2 linked regions of the Mytilus edulis genome follow. The protein of the gene in region 2 interacts with the protein of the main gene of each other region in a biochemical or structural test. Links are inferred from orthologs where the notes say so. Each region holds a gene or a part of one and is shown on either strand. Other genes may lie near its edges.

The links.
Region 1: the proteins of GTP-binding nuclear protein Ran (region 2) and ran guanine nucleotide release factor-like form a complex in vitro, tested with the Homo sapiens proteins (2 studies listed by BioGRID). The link is inferred for Mytilus edulis from reciprocal best matches to the Homo sapiens genes RAN and RANGRF.

The regions. Positions count from the first base shown.
Region 1 is NC_092356.1:49,374,413-49,381,768, forward strand, and holds the start of ran guanine nucleotide release factor-like, read right to left. Parts: upstream 3,028-7,356; 5' UTR 2,918-3,027; exon of another isoform or gene 2,836-2,917; intron 2,794-2,835; exon of another isoform or gene 2,627-2,793; intron 2,477-2,626; coding exon of another isoform or gene 2,018-2,476; intron 1,658-2,017; coding exon 1,590-1,657; intron 1-1,589. Other genes in the region: uncharacterized protein, read right to left, coding at 2,018-2,476; cytochrome P450 2E1-like, read left to right, coding at 5,090-5,432. UniProt on the Homo sapiens protein: May regulate the intracellular trafficking of RAN. Promotes guanine nucleotide release from RAN and inhibits binding of new GTP by preventing the binding of the RAN guanine nucleotide exchange factor RCC1.
Region 2 is NC_092349.1:64,093,688-64,100,956, reverse strand, and holds the start of GTP-binding nuclear protein Ran, read left to right. Parts: upstream 1-4,156; 5' UTR 4,157-4,235; intron 4,236-4,327; exon of another isoform or gene 4,328-4,634; intron 4,635-5,138; exon of another isoform or gene 5,139-5,471; intron 5,472-7,269. Other genes in the region: syntaxin-like, read right to left, coding at 595-694, 1,806-1,886, 3,990-4,022. UniProt on the Homo sapiens protein: GTPase involved in nucleocytoplasmic transport, participating both to the import and the export from the nucleus of proteins and RNAs. Switches between a cytoplasmic GDP- and a nuclear GTP-bound state by nucleotide exchange and GTP hydrolysis.

The sequences.
Region 1 (7,356 bases), on a different chromosome or scaffold from region 2:
GATACTGAAAAAAACTAACAAATATATACAAAGGAAAATAATTAAACTCTGGCTTGTTTCAGCATGTGTGAATACTTCTTGATTGTCTGGAATTTGTCTGAAGTCACTGAAAAAAAACCAACAAATATATTCAAAGGGAAATAATTAAACTCTGGTTTGTTTCAGCATGCGTGAATACTTCTTGATTGTCTGGAATCTGTCTGAAGTCACTGAAAAATAAATGAAGGGAAATAATTACACTCTGGTCTGTTTCTGCATGTGAGAAATAATTCCTGAATGTGTGGAATTTGTGTGTAAATAATTCCCGATTGTGTGTAGAATCTGACTAAAGTTGCAGAAACAAATTTTCAAAGGGGGATAATTACACTACTTTGTAAAAACTTGGGGATCAGGGTGAAATAAAATAAATTATTGAACATAAATGTTGTCTAATATGCATAAAATTTCGTAAGGGTTCTGTGGAACCCAGTGTCTCGCCTACTTTTGCATTTGTGGCAGGCTCAACAAAAAAGAGGAAAAAATCAATAAAAATATTCCTCTTGATACTATCTTTTGATTGTAAGAAGCTTCTGTCCAAGTTTGGTAAAAATCCAGGATAGTTTATAAATCTAATAAATGTTTTAAAAACTTAACTACAGACTGTATGTAACTATAGACTGTATGTAATGTTAACTGGAAGAAAAACTTAATTCATTTATAAGTAAAATACAGATACACAGGTACAAAATTTAAACAAAATTTCCTTCTGGATATTAGTTTTTGATCATAAACAAGCTTCTGTCCAAGTTTGGTACAAACCCAGGATAGTTTAAGAAAGTCATTAAAATTTGAAAAACTTTAACCACAGAGCGAATGTGTTGTTTCCTGGCAGAAAATCTAAGTCCATTTATAAGTAAAATACAGAAAAAATGGAATTTTACTTTTACAAAATTTACTTCTGAATACTATCTTATGATCATAAAAAAGCTTCTGTCAACGTTTGGTAAAAATCCAGTATAGTTTAAGAAAGTTATTAAAATTTCAAAAACTTTAACCACAGAGTGAATATTTGTGAAAGCCGCCACTGCCAACGGAATGTAGGATTGCTATGTCTCGCTTTCTCGACTAAAGTTGAAGACTTGACAAAAAACAATGTTATTTAAAAGGAGGATTATAAAACTAGTTTGAACATTCATTTAAAATGATAAAAGGAGAAATCAAATCACAACTCTCCAAAGGGAGATAATTATAACAATCTAGATATATATACAATATACATGCATAACAAATGCTAGTTGAGGTTCTTTTCCTTAACAATAGGTCCTTTCTCTGATGCCATAATCAAATTGTAAGTGATGTTTTCTGTCTATGAGACTAATGTGATGTGCTAAAACCTTCTTTGATATTTTAAGTAGAAGAACAGATTTCTTATTCATATACTGTAAAAGCAGAAATTTTTCGTGGAGGATTTAATTTCGTTTATTTCGTGGAAAGAATATATCCACGAAATTAAAACCCCCACGAAAATTTAACTTCCATATAAAGCCACTTTTAACAATTTAATTTTTATATAATTTTCAGCTAAGTTCATATAGTCTTATTCTTATTACCTGACATCTTTAGCTCCATCAGGTAGAAATGCTGAAAAGGCACCACCAAATAACTCTTTTTCTGGCATCTAAAGAAGTAAAAAAAAATCAAAGTGCTTGAAAGCATTGAACGGTAAAGATTGCAAATTATGGTCCGCAAATTAAATAGTAAAAACATAACATAAGGACCTACATGTACATGTATGAGCTACAGCTCTGCAGCTACAAACTGCACACAGAACAAGATTGTAATATTTCTGTTTCTGTCGGATAATAGCCTCCTTCAACAAACTGACGATTCTGCTATATATGTTTCGGACGAGTTCCGTTTGCAGGAGACGACATCCAAGTAAGTAAATTGTTGAAGTAAAACCGTGGAACTGACTATATACAGTGAATTTGAATTAAACTTTAAACACTGGCTAAAAACAGTAGGAGCCTCCAAGGCTCTAGAGGTTTGACACTAGGGCCTTGAAGGCACCTAGTGTCTCTGCCTGTGGGATGTCTGGTGGTAAGGCGTTCCAGTCCCTTATAGTCTGTGGTAAGTATGATGTCTTGTGTGCATCAATACGTGAGTGCGGTACTTGGTATGCCTTAGGATGTATATTTCTCCCTTTTCTTACTGGTGGTGTGAGTCGTCCTTCTTTCTCTATTGCTACCATATTATTCTCTTTTTTATAGAACATCACTAGTTTGGTTTCCTTTCTTAGTTGTTGCAGTGGTTTCCATTTTAGGTGGTCTATAATTTCTGTGACACTTGCAGTTGGTTTGTACTTATTTGTCACGTATCTTGCAGCTCTTCTTTGTATCTGTTCTATTTTGTAGATTGGTTCTTTTGTTGCAGGATCCCAGACAGATGCTGCATATTCTAATTGTGGTCTTACTAGTCTCTGATCATAACCATGCATTTGGCAAAAGTAGCTTTGTTACCTCTAATCTTTGACGCAATATGAAATTTATATTGTAGTGAAAACATTCATGAATCATGTCTGTAAAATCATTTTAAATGGTCAGAAATTTAAATAATTATATTGAACTCTTTGAATATTGTATCTTACCACTTATATATCTGTTGCTTTTGAGTTTTGTGATGTTATTAGCTAAGTATGTCTTTTAAATTAGCTTCGATTGCACAACTGTAATTTCAGGTTTTTGCTAGATTGAACAAGATTTAACTAGATACAGCATAGTAAATCAGAAATTTTAAAGATTAAAAAAAGCGTAATACTTAAAAATAGACTATAATGATTTGTTTTTTTATCAATACCTTTTCGCTGAAAGGCTCATCCAACTGTTTGTCAATGTGACAAACCAAAATAAAGGGGTTTTTTTCACTTTAAAGTACCTACCAAATACTTTTCTGTGTGAATTATTGTGAAATATTACGAAAGAGCTAAGACCTAAGTTTAGAAAGTGAAAATAGCAGGGGAGAGAAATCAGAAACATGTGTTGAAATAACACCGGAAACAGTAACGGAATCGATACGCTTAAAATACGGGTTTTAAATTTGCCAAAAAAAACCACTAACTTAGTGACGCATTCCTTTCCTTCCTGATCATCTGACAATGAAGTTCTAGACAGTTACATAAGTTAGTACGCTGATTATAGATTAAATAACCATTATCGAATGAACTGACAGATTTCAAGCTCAAACAAAATTGCTGCAGGTCACCAGCCGAATTACAGTTCTCAGTTATCCCTTACTGTTAGGTAAAATTCTAAGAGGCGCAAATTTACTGAAAATTACAATGATTGTTTTCAATTAGCTCCTATAACATTCCAGGACCTCCTTTATTACGAAATTTATATTCCAGAATCTGCATAATTCGAATTCAGTCGGGTTTCATAAAACTTGAACAACTCAGTCTGAAATATTTAGGACTGAACACCTTCTGAAATAACAAGGCAGTGGCGGATGCAGGAATTTTCGAAAGGGGGGGTGCTAGCCCAGGGCAAAGGGGGGGGTGCAGGGGGGGTGCAAACATATGTCCCGATTCAAATGCATTGATCGGCCAAAATAAAGGGGGGGTGCGGACCCCCGGAACCCCCCCTCTGGATCCGCCACTGCAAGGACCTCCGTAATTTCTGTAAAGGATATTCTAAAAATATTCCAGGACTGCATTATTCGAATTAAGGATATCCTGAAATATTGTACGACCTCTATAAATAATTGATCAACATTGCTTAATTTCAGGAGGACCATAGGTTTTTTGGATGATAGTATTTAAGTTGAGATCTATAATCATATGATATAACAGGACATCCTAAAAAATCCTTAAATATTAAAGGAAGGACCTCTTGAAGCAATGCATTTTTGACCATTTAATTTTGGAGGCCATGTAATATTCAAGGATATGCTGAAAACGAGATTGTTTGGTTCCTGAAATACTTCAGAATATCCGTAAATCAAATTATGTAGGTCCTGAACTATTTCAGGAGGTCCTCATGCAATGATTTATAGATACCCTGAATTCGAATTATGGCGGTTTTGAAATATTTTAGAAGCTCCTTGTAGACACAGACTATTTTTTAATAAATTTCCGCCTTACATATATTTTTTTTCAATAGACAAATGTCTAAATATCTTCGTCTCAGTTTTTTCTCTCAAGTGAACCGATAAAGGTAATGACCCTTTACGTAGATGTAACATTGTGTTTCTTAAGAATTTTGTGGGTGACCTTAAGGTGGTATGGGTGTCTTCCTCCATCTTGGATTGTAAAAAACAGAGAATCAAAGGTCCAGATTTTCCATCAAGTTAGCAAAATTTGATGCAGGAATGCAGATGTTTAATGTACATTTTCATTTAAAAGTACCAATTTATAAGAATATAACTTCTAAATATTGATATTTTTGCAAATGTTAATTATTTTTGGTTGTTTTTATTTATTTATTTTTAAATTGGCATTTTAAGGGGAGGTAACTCTTAAAAAGTGCATTTTCTGAAGGATTCTGTATGGAATTTTCCTATTTTGTATTTTAGCCGGAAAAAACGTACGGTGACCCTATCTTTTCTTTTGATATTCTCAAAGCAGTGTCTGAAAGCTATCTTTTCCTGAAGTATTTAACAATTCTATCATTTTGTTTAGTTTCTAATCACAAAATGGTGTTTTTTCCTGTATAATCCATACAAAATGTGTCATTTTGTCCCGTCCTGTAGCTTGAGAAAATGCGCGGTGACCTATCATTTTTATTATATTTTTCAACATGTATCAATAGATACAACGTTTTGGCAAAGTATGAACAAATTCTATCATTTTTATTTTAGACTCCCATACCACCTTAATTTCTAGTAAATCATATTATGCATAGGAATGCATCAAACAAATTAACTATCTATTAGAGGAAAAATTATCATGATTCAAGCACGACATAAACCTTGAATTGCATTATACATGTCGATGATATATAATAACTAAGCTAGCCATGCTATCGAGTATATTATAGAAAAGATAAATTTTCCGATTTTAAGGTTAGATTATGTATGTCAACATTTTGAAGGTAACATAAAGATTAGAAAAGTGATGGCGTATTTGTTAAATGTTTCGATTACTGAAGTTTTAATTGGAATAACTGTCGGGCTAATATGCTGGCTTTGGATGAGATCGCGGAGGCCAGCCGATTTCCCCCCTGGACCAATACCACTACCACTAATTGGAAACGTACATCAACTTTCAGGTGGAAATATTGTGAAAGCTTTTCGTAGACTTCGAAAAGAATATGGTGATATTTTCAGCCTTTCAATTGGGTCATCTTGGGTGGTAGTTGTTAATGGAGCCAATGATTTACGTGAATTGTTGCTTAAAAGGGGCGACAGTATTTCAGACAGGCCAAACATTTTCATTTTAAAACTCAGGGATAACCATGGTAAGAATACTTTCAATTGATATGTTATTGGGTGTCTTTCTATGATGTAATGTTACACTATTGTTTCAGGTAAGGGTGAAGGAATGTACTAATTAAAACGTGTAAACCCGCTGCATGTGTTTGCATCTGTCCTAAGTCAGAAACCTGATGTTCAGTGATTGCCGTTAGTTGATGTGGTTGGTTCATAAGTGTTACACGCTTCTCGTTTTTACATCAGATGACCGTGAGGGCATTTCAATGTAATGCTGCCGGCACAGACATTTCTCACGTGCCCATCGTGACTTTCGTTTTTGACCGATACCCGATTGCAAAATAACATTCCTTATTGTTTCTTATATAATATCAATTTCATCAATAAATATTCATGAATATAATTTTTAAAAACATAGATAAATGATATGATTAGAAATATTATCAGATTATTACATAGCATTTTTCATATCGCATGTATTATCAGCCCTAGGTTCAATATCAGCCCCAGAGCCGAATGGCTCGAGGGCTGATATTGACCGAGGGCTGATAATACATGCGATATGAAAAATGACATGTTATTTATTATGATCTTTTTATCATATGCTTCAACAATAGAGAAAAATAACAGATTCATATATTGAATACAGATCCTTGCATGTGGTTCCCAAATAGAAGTTCAAAGAGTGAACGTTCACGAACGTCGGACCCCAAATTTAGTACATTCGATTTTATTTCTATCATATGCATCAAAAGAGAAGAAAAACATTTTAATATGGACGAATCGACAAAAAAAATCAATTTAACAATCTACATAATGAACACTGTTTGGAAAAGTCAAATTGTATAAAAGTTGCTTTCTAAATTATGTTTGAAAGTTTTAAAAATGCATTTATTTTGGTTTTTTTACACAATATACTTTCCACTATCCAAATAATTGTTTTGTACACTACTTTGTGATGTTTTTCACTGAAAACGTAGCATTGAGGTGTATTTTCCGGAATTTGCCGAGTATTACCGGAATGCCATGCGATAACGTTACGGAAAGGCATGTGATAACGTTCGAAGCATGTGATAAACTTTTCATATCAGCCCGCTCAGCACCAATTCGAAAAATATGAAATTTACGTTAATTTCATGCTATTATCATACAGTAAAAATCATATGTTATTTAGTCTAAGTATATGATAAATATATATATTATATATATGTATCAATAACAAATCATTGTGTTAAGGTTTATGTACCCTTCTGTAGCCATTTCTGTACGAACTTTTCAAACTTCAATTGCATCAAAACTACAGATATTATGAATAATAGAGATAGGCCATTTTGTACTTATTCCAAGGGGAAACATGATGCAAAGCATTATTTTTTAGTGTTCCATTGCATTTAATTAATTTCAAAGGCTGTGGATTTTCTATAAAAATCATGATTTATTTGCCACAAAGTCCTCTTTTTCTATCAGATGCAATGAAACAGTTAAAAATAATGCTTTGCATCAAGTTTCCCCTTGGAACATGTACTAAATGGACTATCTCTATTATTTATTATATCTTTAGTTTTGATACAATTGAGGTTTGAAAAATTCGTACAAAAATGGCTACAGAAGGGTACATAAACCTTAACACATGCGGAAGAACATCTCAAGAACGATTTGCGGGAAAATATGAATGTCTGCTCAAATCCAATCTATTAGAAAAATCGAAATATTACCGTGAGAAGAGTGTCCACTATGCACTTGCCCTTTACTATTATTAGAATAGTAGAATAAAATAATATACAAATTGAGGGAAATTTTATTTATACTTGTAACTGTTATATACAAATATTAATATAATATAACAACAAACCAGCCGTTAGTATACTGATGTGTATAACTTCAATATAATAGTTATTACGGTGCTGTTGAATTTCCTGTCATTTATTCATCATCCACGCACGAACTTGTCTC
Region 2 (7,269 bases):
AGCTTTTAATTATGTCACAAATCAAGATGGTAAACCACCATTATCAGTTATCTTAACAAATTTCATTGAAGTATACACAATAGCAGTTTTATTTGGTATATACACTGATGATCATTTACAATGATATTGGAAGAACTAACAGACACACACAGACCAGAAAACATGATGCCTTCTTACTGTCATGGACTTAGGTATAAGAAATCATGCGCTATCAAATGGCATCAATATCAAACACTTTCATCACCATTAGATCTTTACCACAATTTCTTGCTCATATTTCTTTGCTTTATACACATTTATCAAATTATATATGAAATAACATTTTTCGAAAGATAGTAGAGCCCACAATTAGAATTCAAAATGGAAACAGGAAATGTGTAAACCAGACAACAACCCAACCAAAGAGCATAAAACTGCCGAAGGCCACCAATGGGTCTTCAACACAGCATAAAAATCTCACACATGGAGCTGGGCTTCAGCTGATCCTCAAACAATCATGTAAAATGTACAAATGTATACTAATTCAGGGAAATAATTGCTACACACTTTGTAATTAAGTTTGTATATTTGTAAAAAAAGTGTTTAATAACTTACTATCATCATTTTGTGGTGCCATTAAAATCATACTATGTTTTTTCTTCACATCTTCCACATTAGCTGATATTTTATCTATCATCCCCCGGATCTCCTCCACCTACAAATTTTAATATAAAATTTAATAAAAACAAAACAAAAAAAACAAAAAACTTGAGCTAAAATATTAAACAAAATAGACATACTGTGAATTATCCCTTCAATTCTTTGGTGTTACCAATCCAGTAAAATATCAACAGTAACTTGTAGGAACAAAATTTCAAAGGACATTTAATTCTCTGTCTCAAATGTTGTTTAACTTTTAAATTTGGTCCCATAAATTTTCTTATTTTACAGGACTAAAAACATTTATTCTAGTTTTGACAGAACCAGTATCCTATGAAAACTCAATATATTTTAAAATTGAGAAATTACAACAGCAATATGTTATCTGCAGGCTTAAAGAAGTCTCTTTTTTTTTATATATACCATATTGATATTACCATTAACAAAAAACTGCTGGAAGAAGTTAATTTAAGCAAATACATTCATAAATTGGTATTTTCATTAGGGGCAGTAACCCATATAAAGCATCAATAAATGATTTCAATATAAAAGTGTTTTGAAATTTTTAAGATGTTGTATATACATTTTTGTATATGTACGTCTGAACCAGTGACAACTCTACAACAGATTTATCCATCGGATCACCAGCAGTGATGGTGATACATGGCTGTGTACATTATGTATATACAACTCGTCTAAACATCAAGCCAACAATGTTAGATGTGTATATTGATCATACTTTTTTGCAGCTTTCAGTTTCTGATACAGTTAACGCCATTGTGAATCATGCCATTTCAAAGTGTTTAAGGAGCAGGTTCAGCACTTGGTAATTTTACATTATGTTTATAAAAATGTTGAAATTTTTGAGGTTTGTTTTTCTAAATACACCAACAGTCTGTGCAAAACTGTTTTAGGGTTTGTCTGACCAAAAGAGAAATTCAATTTTTCTTCTATATACATGTATATTCAACCAAAAAATCTTAAAAGTTCTGTGTGACCGAATGATTTTTTGTCTGACATTTTGTCGGTCAGATGGAGTTTGGGATACACTGCACCAGTGTGGCCACCTCAACATGCTTACTGTTTATGTTGCAATAAAATCATACTAGTCTGAGCAATAAATGCCAAAAAGAAATATTTTTACATAAATAAATGAAAGTTTATACCTGTTCAAAGAACATGTCCATGAAACCTCCAGTGTCAACATTGACAGCCACATCGTCTGCGTCATCATCATCACTCTGTGCCTAAAATAAGACAAACAACTACATTAACATTTTCATATAATTTGGTATGGTTTGAGTGTACATTTGTATTTATATTATATATAGTGATCAGCATCAGTCTGCACTTAAATCTTTCCATTTACCGACGACTTCTAGTTCGAAAACCAATATCCAACATTTTTCTTGTGTGTCATAAAAGCTTACTAGTCTGAATAAAACTTTACTAGTCTGGGGCATTAGACTTGTGGCTCAGGACCCAGACTGCGTAAACAAATTAATTTCTAATGTGAATCAAAGAAACAATTCATGTGGCTAATCTGCATGTACAATATATTTTCGTATCAATTTGGTACATCAACATTTATCCATTAATCAGCATTCTCCCCAGGCATGAATATATATATATGTGTTGAGGGTTTCCTTTAGTAACTATGTTTACTGACCCTAATATTGAGTGCCAACACAAAATTAAAATCAGTAAAGGAAACCCTTAACACATATATTTGTATTTTTTTAACAAACATATGAAATAAAATGTATTTCTACTCAGGCAATTAAAGCTTGACATATATTTGTACATGCATGTACATGTACTACATTGTATTGTATTGTACAGAAAACTGTCTATTGTTGTAGATCCTAAAATGCCATCAATAAGTTTTTATATATTTGTGTTTACAGTCTTCACGATGAACTGTAAAATCTACAGGCCCCTAGCTTATTTTTTGAAAATTTTTAGTTAGATTCTGTTGGCCGGTAAATATGATTTCTACAGGCCCAAGAGCAATTTTACAAGCCTGGGTTGCCACTCAGCGTGAAGACTGTATTTAGTGCTGATTTAGTTACATGTACCACACATCTCAATTTATTCAACTAACAATGTATTAACAGTACTAGTATGTGCAGGAAATATAAGTTTGTCAGTCATTTATCATGTTTGTCAGTAGAATAATTTTAATTTAATATTTGTATGTATGGATACATTTGTATTTAAAGTAATCTGTGCCAAATTAGTATTTGTATTTACCTACAATATTAAACACTTCTTACATTACCACCAAGAAGGCAAAAACTCCTAGATGGAATCAAGACAACTTGCCCCACTGCCAACATGGCCAAATCGCCCCATTTTTGTTTACTACTTCACCCCACTTTCTAAAACTATCAGCCCTTATGTTTACCAGCATGCCTCACTAAACTAATATATGGATTAAATCCTTTTAAATTTACTCCTTCCAACTCAACCCTTTTCAACATGATTTTATCAAAATTGGAAAATATGAGTAGACAAGTTGGTGAAAAAGTTCAGCTTCCTGTAGTAAGTTGCAAGCTCTATACAGGAAAATTCAGATACATTATGTACAATAATAATGGAGCGATATAAAAAAGAGCAGTTGAACAATGCAGTATTAAACTAATGCAGAGTTATGATCAGAATGTTTTCCACCAGTCAATACAGATAAGGGTGTCTTCTTCCAGATTATGAGTCGAAATCTGTAGTAAAGTGTAAATAATTTGACTCAGGCACTCTGGTGATTATATTAATAGGCCTACTTTTAGTCTATTAGTTTTATAGGCAGTGTGCAACATAAATTTCGTGTTCAGTTTACAGGAAGCTAAGTTTTTTTTTACATTCTGGTTAGGTTAAAAAAAAATTTAAGAATAGACCTATTAGGATTCACACCCCTAAGCAGTGGCGGATCCAGCCATTTTAAAAAGGGGGTGTTCCCAACCCAGGACAACAGAGGGGGGGGGGGGGTTCCAACTATTCCAACTATATGTCCCCATTCAAATGCATTGATCGGCCAAAAAAAGGGGGGTTCCAACCCCTGGATCCGCCACTGCTAACGCAAAAGAAGGCCATATACAATAATGCTGGAACAATAAACATGCTGGTAAATATATAATATATATTGCAGTACTTTACATGCATGTCTGTCACAGTGTCGGATTCCCCATTTTTCTTTGTCCATTATTGCCAAATTTTACAATTAATACTGGTTTAATTTACATGCATGGTCAATGTCTGTTAAGCATTTAAAGCAATAACAACTAAAGGGGGAGGGGTGTAAGAAATCAGTGTTAACTCAGACTCAGTCCCAACTTGGCCGGCTAAATTCTTACCGCTTTTAAAGCCGCAAGACGATCTTTGGTCATTTTTCAACTTAAGTGTATACTATTTTCATCAACTCATTAAGATCACTGTAGTCTTTGTATGTATTGTTACATGTTACTTCCAAATTCCGATGATACATAAGAAAATCGATACAATTTTAATATCGTCTACCATCATAACACTAGCAAGTGCGCAAGTTCATGCGGGGTTTCCTTCTTCCGGCTGTGTCGCACTTAATGAATTTTTTTTAGCGGGTAAATAATATTTGTTGTTGAATTTAAATTTTCAAAGATATTTCAAAGGACAGAAATCTTCCATCGCATAAGCTCTATTTTTGGTAGTTTATATAATCTAAAGTGACGGCAAATACCCGCCAAAACCAGTTTAAACCCCCCTTCCGGTAAATCTCTTGCGCCATTTCTTGACTGAAGAGGGACATAGCAGGTAAAATCGTCTGTCATCCTATGAAAGAAATCATTTCAATTACACCTTTGATGAATTATTTGTATAGAAAACAGCATGTTTTAATGTTTTATCACTTCATTTTTTATTAATTCCATTTCAACTCGTTACCACAAACAATATACCTGATCGTCTTTGTCATTCTTGAACTTGTAAACGTAAAGTTGACTGGAAAGAGATATACAATTCCTGTTAGTATTGAAACTTAATATTCATCATACAAAACTAATTGCGTATGACAACCTGAAGTTAATAGGCGATCAGACTTCCGCAGTCACTTCTAGAATAAATAAATAAGGATGCGTCAAATTCATTTATTTGGCGGAATTTTATGGTGGTGTAATTTCAGAATATATGTAAATACATAGAATAAACTTACAATTACACACTGGATTTATTCCATAGAGTTGTAAGCAAACCGTTAATGACCAGCTTTCAATATTTTTTTTGTTATTGTTTTAGAGACACTTGTATAATTTTATATTAAGAAATGTCACCTCAAACAGGCCCCCTCAAACATTGTTAAGCGCAAACAAACAAGAAACTTAGATGTAATATGTACTATGTATTGATAGAGCTTGTATTGTCATTGTTGATTAATGCTGGGAACCTACAGATCGTAATGATTAAATTGTAATGCCACACAGTTCATCAGCACTTAAATATGTTGAATGTCAAGGTCCTCTAGATTCGAGATGACAGAATCTCCTTTCAGTTTAGTGTTTACAGCTTGATTGATCTAGACAGTGATATACAGATTTAGAGTCTTAGAATAGAAAATAGTTTTCTATAATGATGTATTTTTTTAATATAAACAACTCAGACTCATATCCGATTAAATCATATCTATTTTAAAATTATATCTTGGAAAGAACTGGTTCTAACTGACTTTCAAAGAAATATTGCACAACGCACATACATACATACATGTACAGTATACATATACATGCAACAATATAGATAGTAAAATAACTTGCTGGTCATCTTAGGTGTTCATAAAAGTTGTGGTGAAAACTGACTTTGTTAAAGTAAGTGAATTCTTAAAACTGTTATATTGATAGTCATCCAAGTTTATCAAACTAATGTGCTACTACCATCTCTGGATTAAATATTGTTATGCAGGCCTGTGTTAATCTAAGTAAACTGCATTATTCATGACTTGGTGTAAATTTTAGGTCTAAGATTTTTTTATTAAAAGCAGGCCAGAGTATTTAAAAGCACATGAGGCAGATTTTACAGTATTGTGTTCTGTCTCCTACTTTCATGTTGCTAATGTGACGGAGACAAAAATGAGTAACGTTAGCGACATTTGGACATGTCACATGAGCAACAACATCTTTAAAAGTTAAATTCTAATGCAACAACGTTTGTAACGTTCATTTTCATTGGATAACGTCACTTTCTTACATGGCATCAATTGACAATTGATGCTATGGGACGTACGCGCAAGCGCAGACGACATATGACAGATTTTAAATACATGTTTTAACGTTGTTTTCTGTCAGTTTCATTAGAATGGAGATAACAATATTGTATTTTAAGCTCCGACGGCATCAATTTGGGATTTGATGGTCGCAAATACCCGTTTACTGTCTCCGCTAACGCGTCGCCAGTAAACTTAATTTGCGACCATCAAATCCCCAATTGATGCCGTCGGAGCTTAAAATACAATACAGTTATCTCCTAAATGTATGCACACAGTGATGTTTAATATATGCCTGGAGTAATAAAATTGTACAGTCTGGTTTAGAATTTCTAAATATACAGAATGTCATTTGCAGGTGTACTTTATATCAAATGAATACACAAGAAACCAAAAAATTAGTAACGTTAGCAACATTTGGACATGTCACATGAGCAACAACATCTTTAAAAGTTAAAATGTATGCACACAGTGATGTTTAAAATATGCCTGGAGTAATAAAATTGTACAGTCTGGTTTAGAATTTCTAAATATACAGAATGTCATTTGCAGGTGTACTTTATATCAAATGAATACACAAGAAACCAATTCGTAATAGTAACATTAGCAACATCTACTATCAAGACATTATGTTTTGTTGCGAACGTCTTTTTGATGGACGGAATACATTTAAGGTCCTCTTGTAAAGATATTACATACAACTTACCTTCTTTGCTTCCCCATCATGTGAAGGAACTGACTCCGAATCTATTTCTGCAAAGGGCGATATCGTAACTCCTATACAGGAGAGTTACAGATATAAATATATGTTGCTCACGTGACACTGATTTGGACGGAAACCTCGAACAGTAACGTTCGCAAAAAATAAAACAGCCAATGATATTGATTCCTCAAGTCCTTTGACCCCCTTACGTCATCCAAATTTAATATGATTGCTATTTTCAATTATTTATAAAACCCGGGATAAAAATAACTACAATGGGCTGTCTGAGAACTAACAAGAAAATTGCGATCGTGACATACCACAATGGACGGAAAAGACGTGACGTTAGCAACAATATTATTAAATTACCTTTTTTAGCCTTTACCAATAAAAATCTGCCTTAAAGTTATGATTAAAACACAAAAGAAGACTTTTTATTAAAATATAAGTCCATGTTATTAGGCTCCACTTATAAATAATACTTCAAAATTCCACTCCAAATAAGCTGGATGTCAGTAAAGTAGGTCATGATGTCTATTCCATGTCCAATATTTTGAAATTGAAAACCCTCTAATTCTAACATAAAACACAAACACAGAGTAATTTTTATTTTTATTTACTCAGAAAGACACATTTTATTCAATAACATAATGCATTACTCCATTTCACAGTCTGTTTCACAGTTTCAGCAATTGCTTTT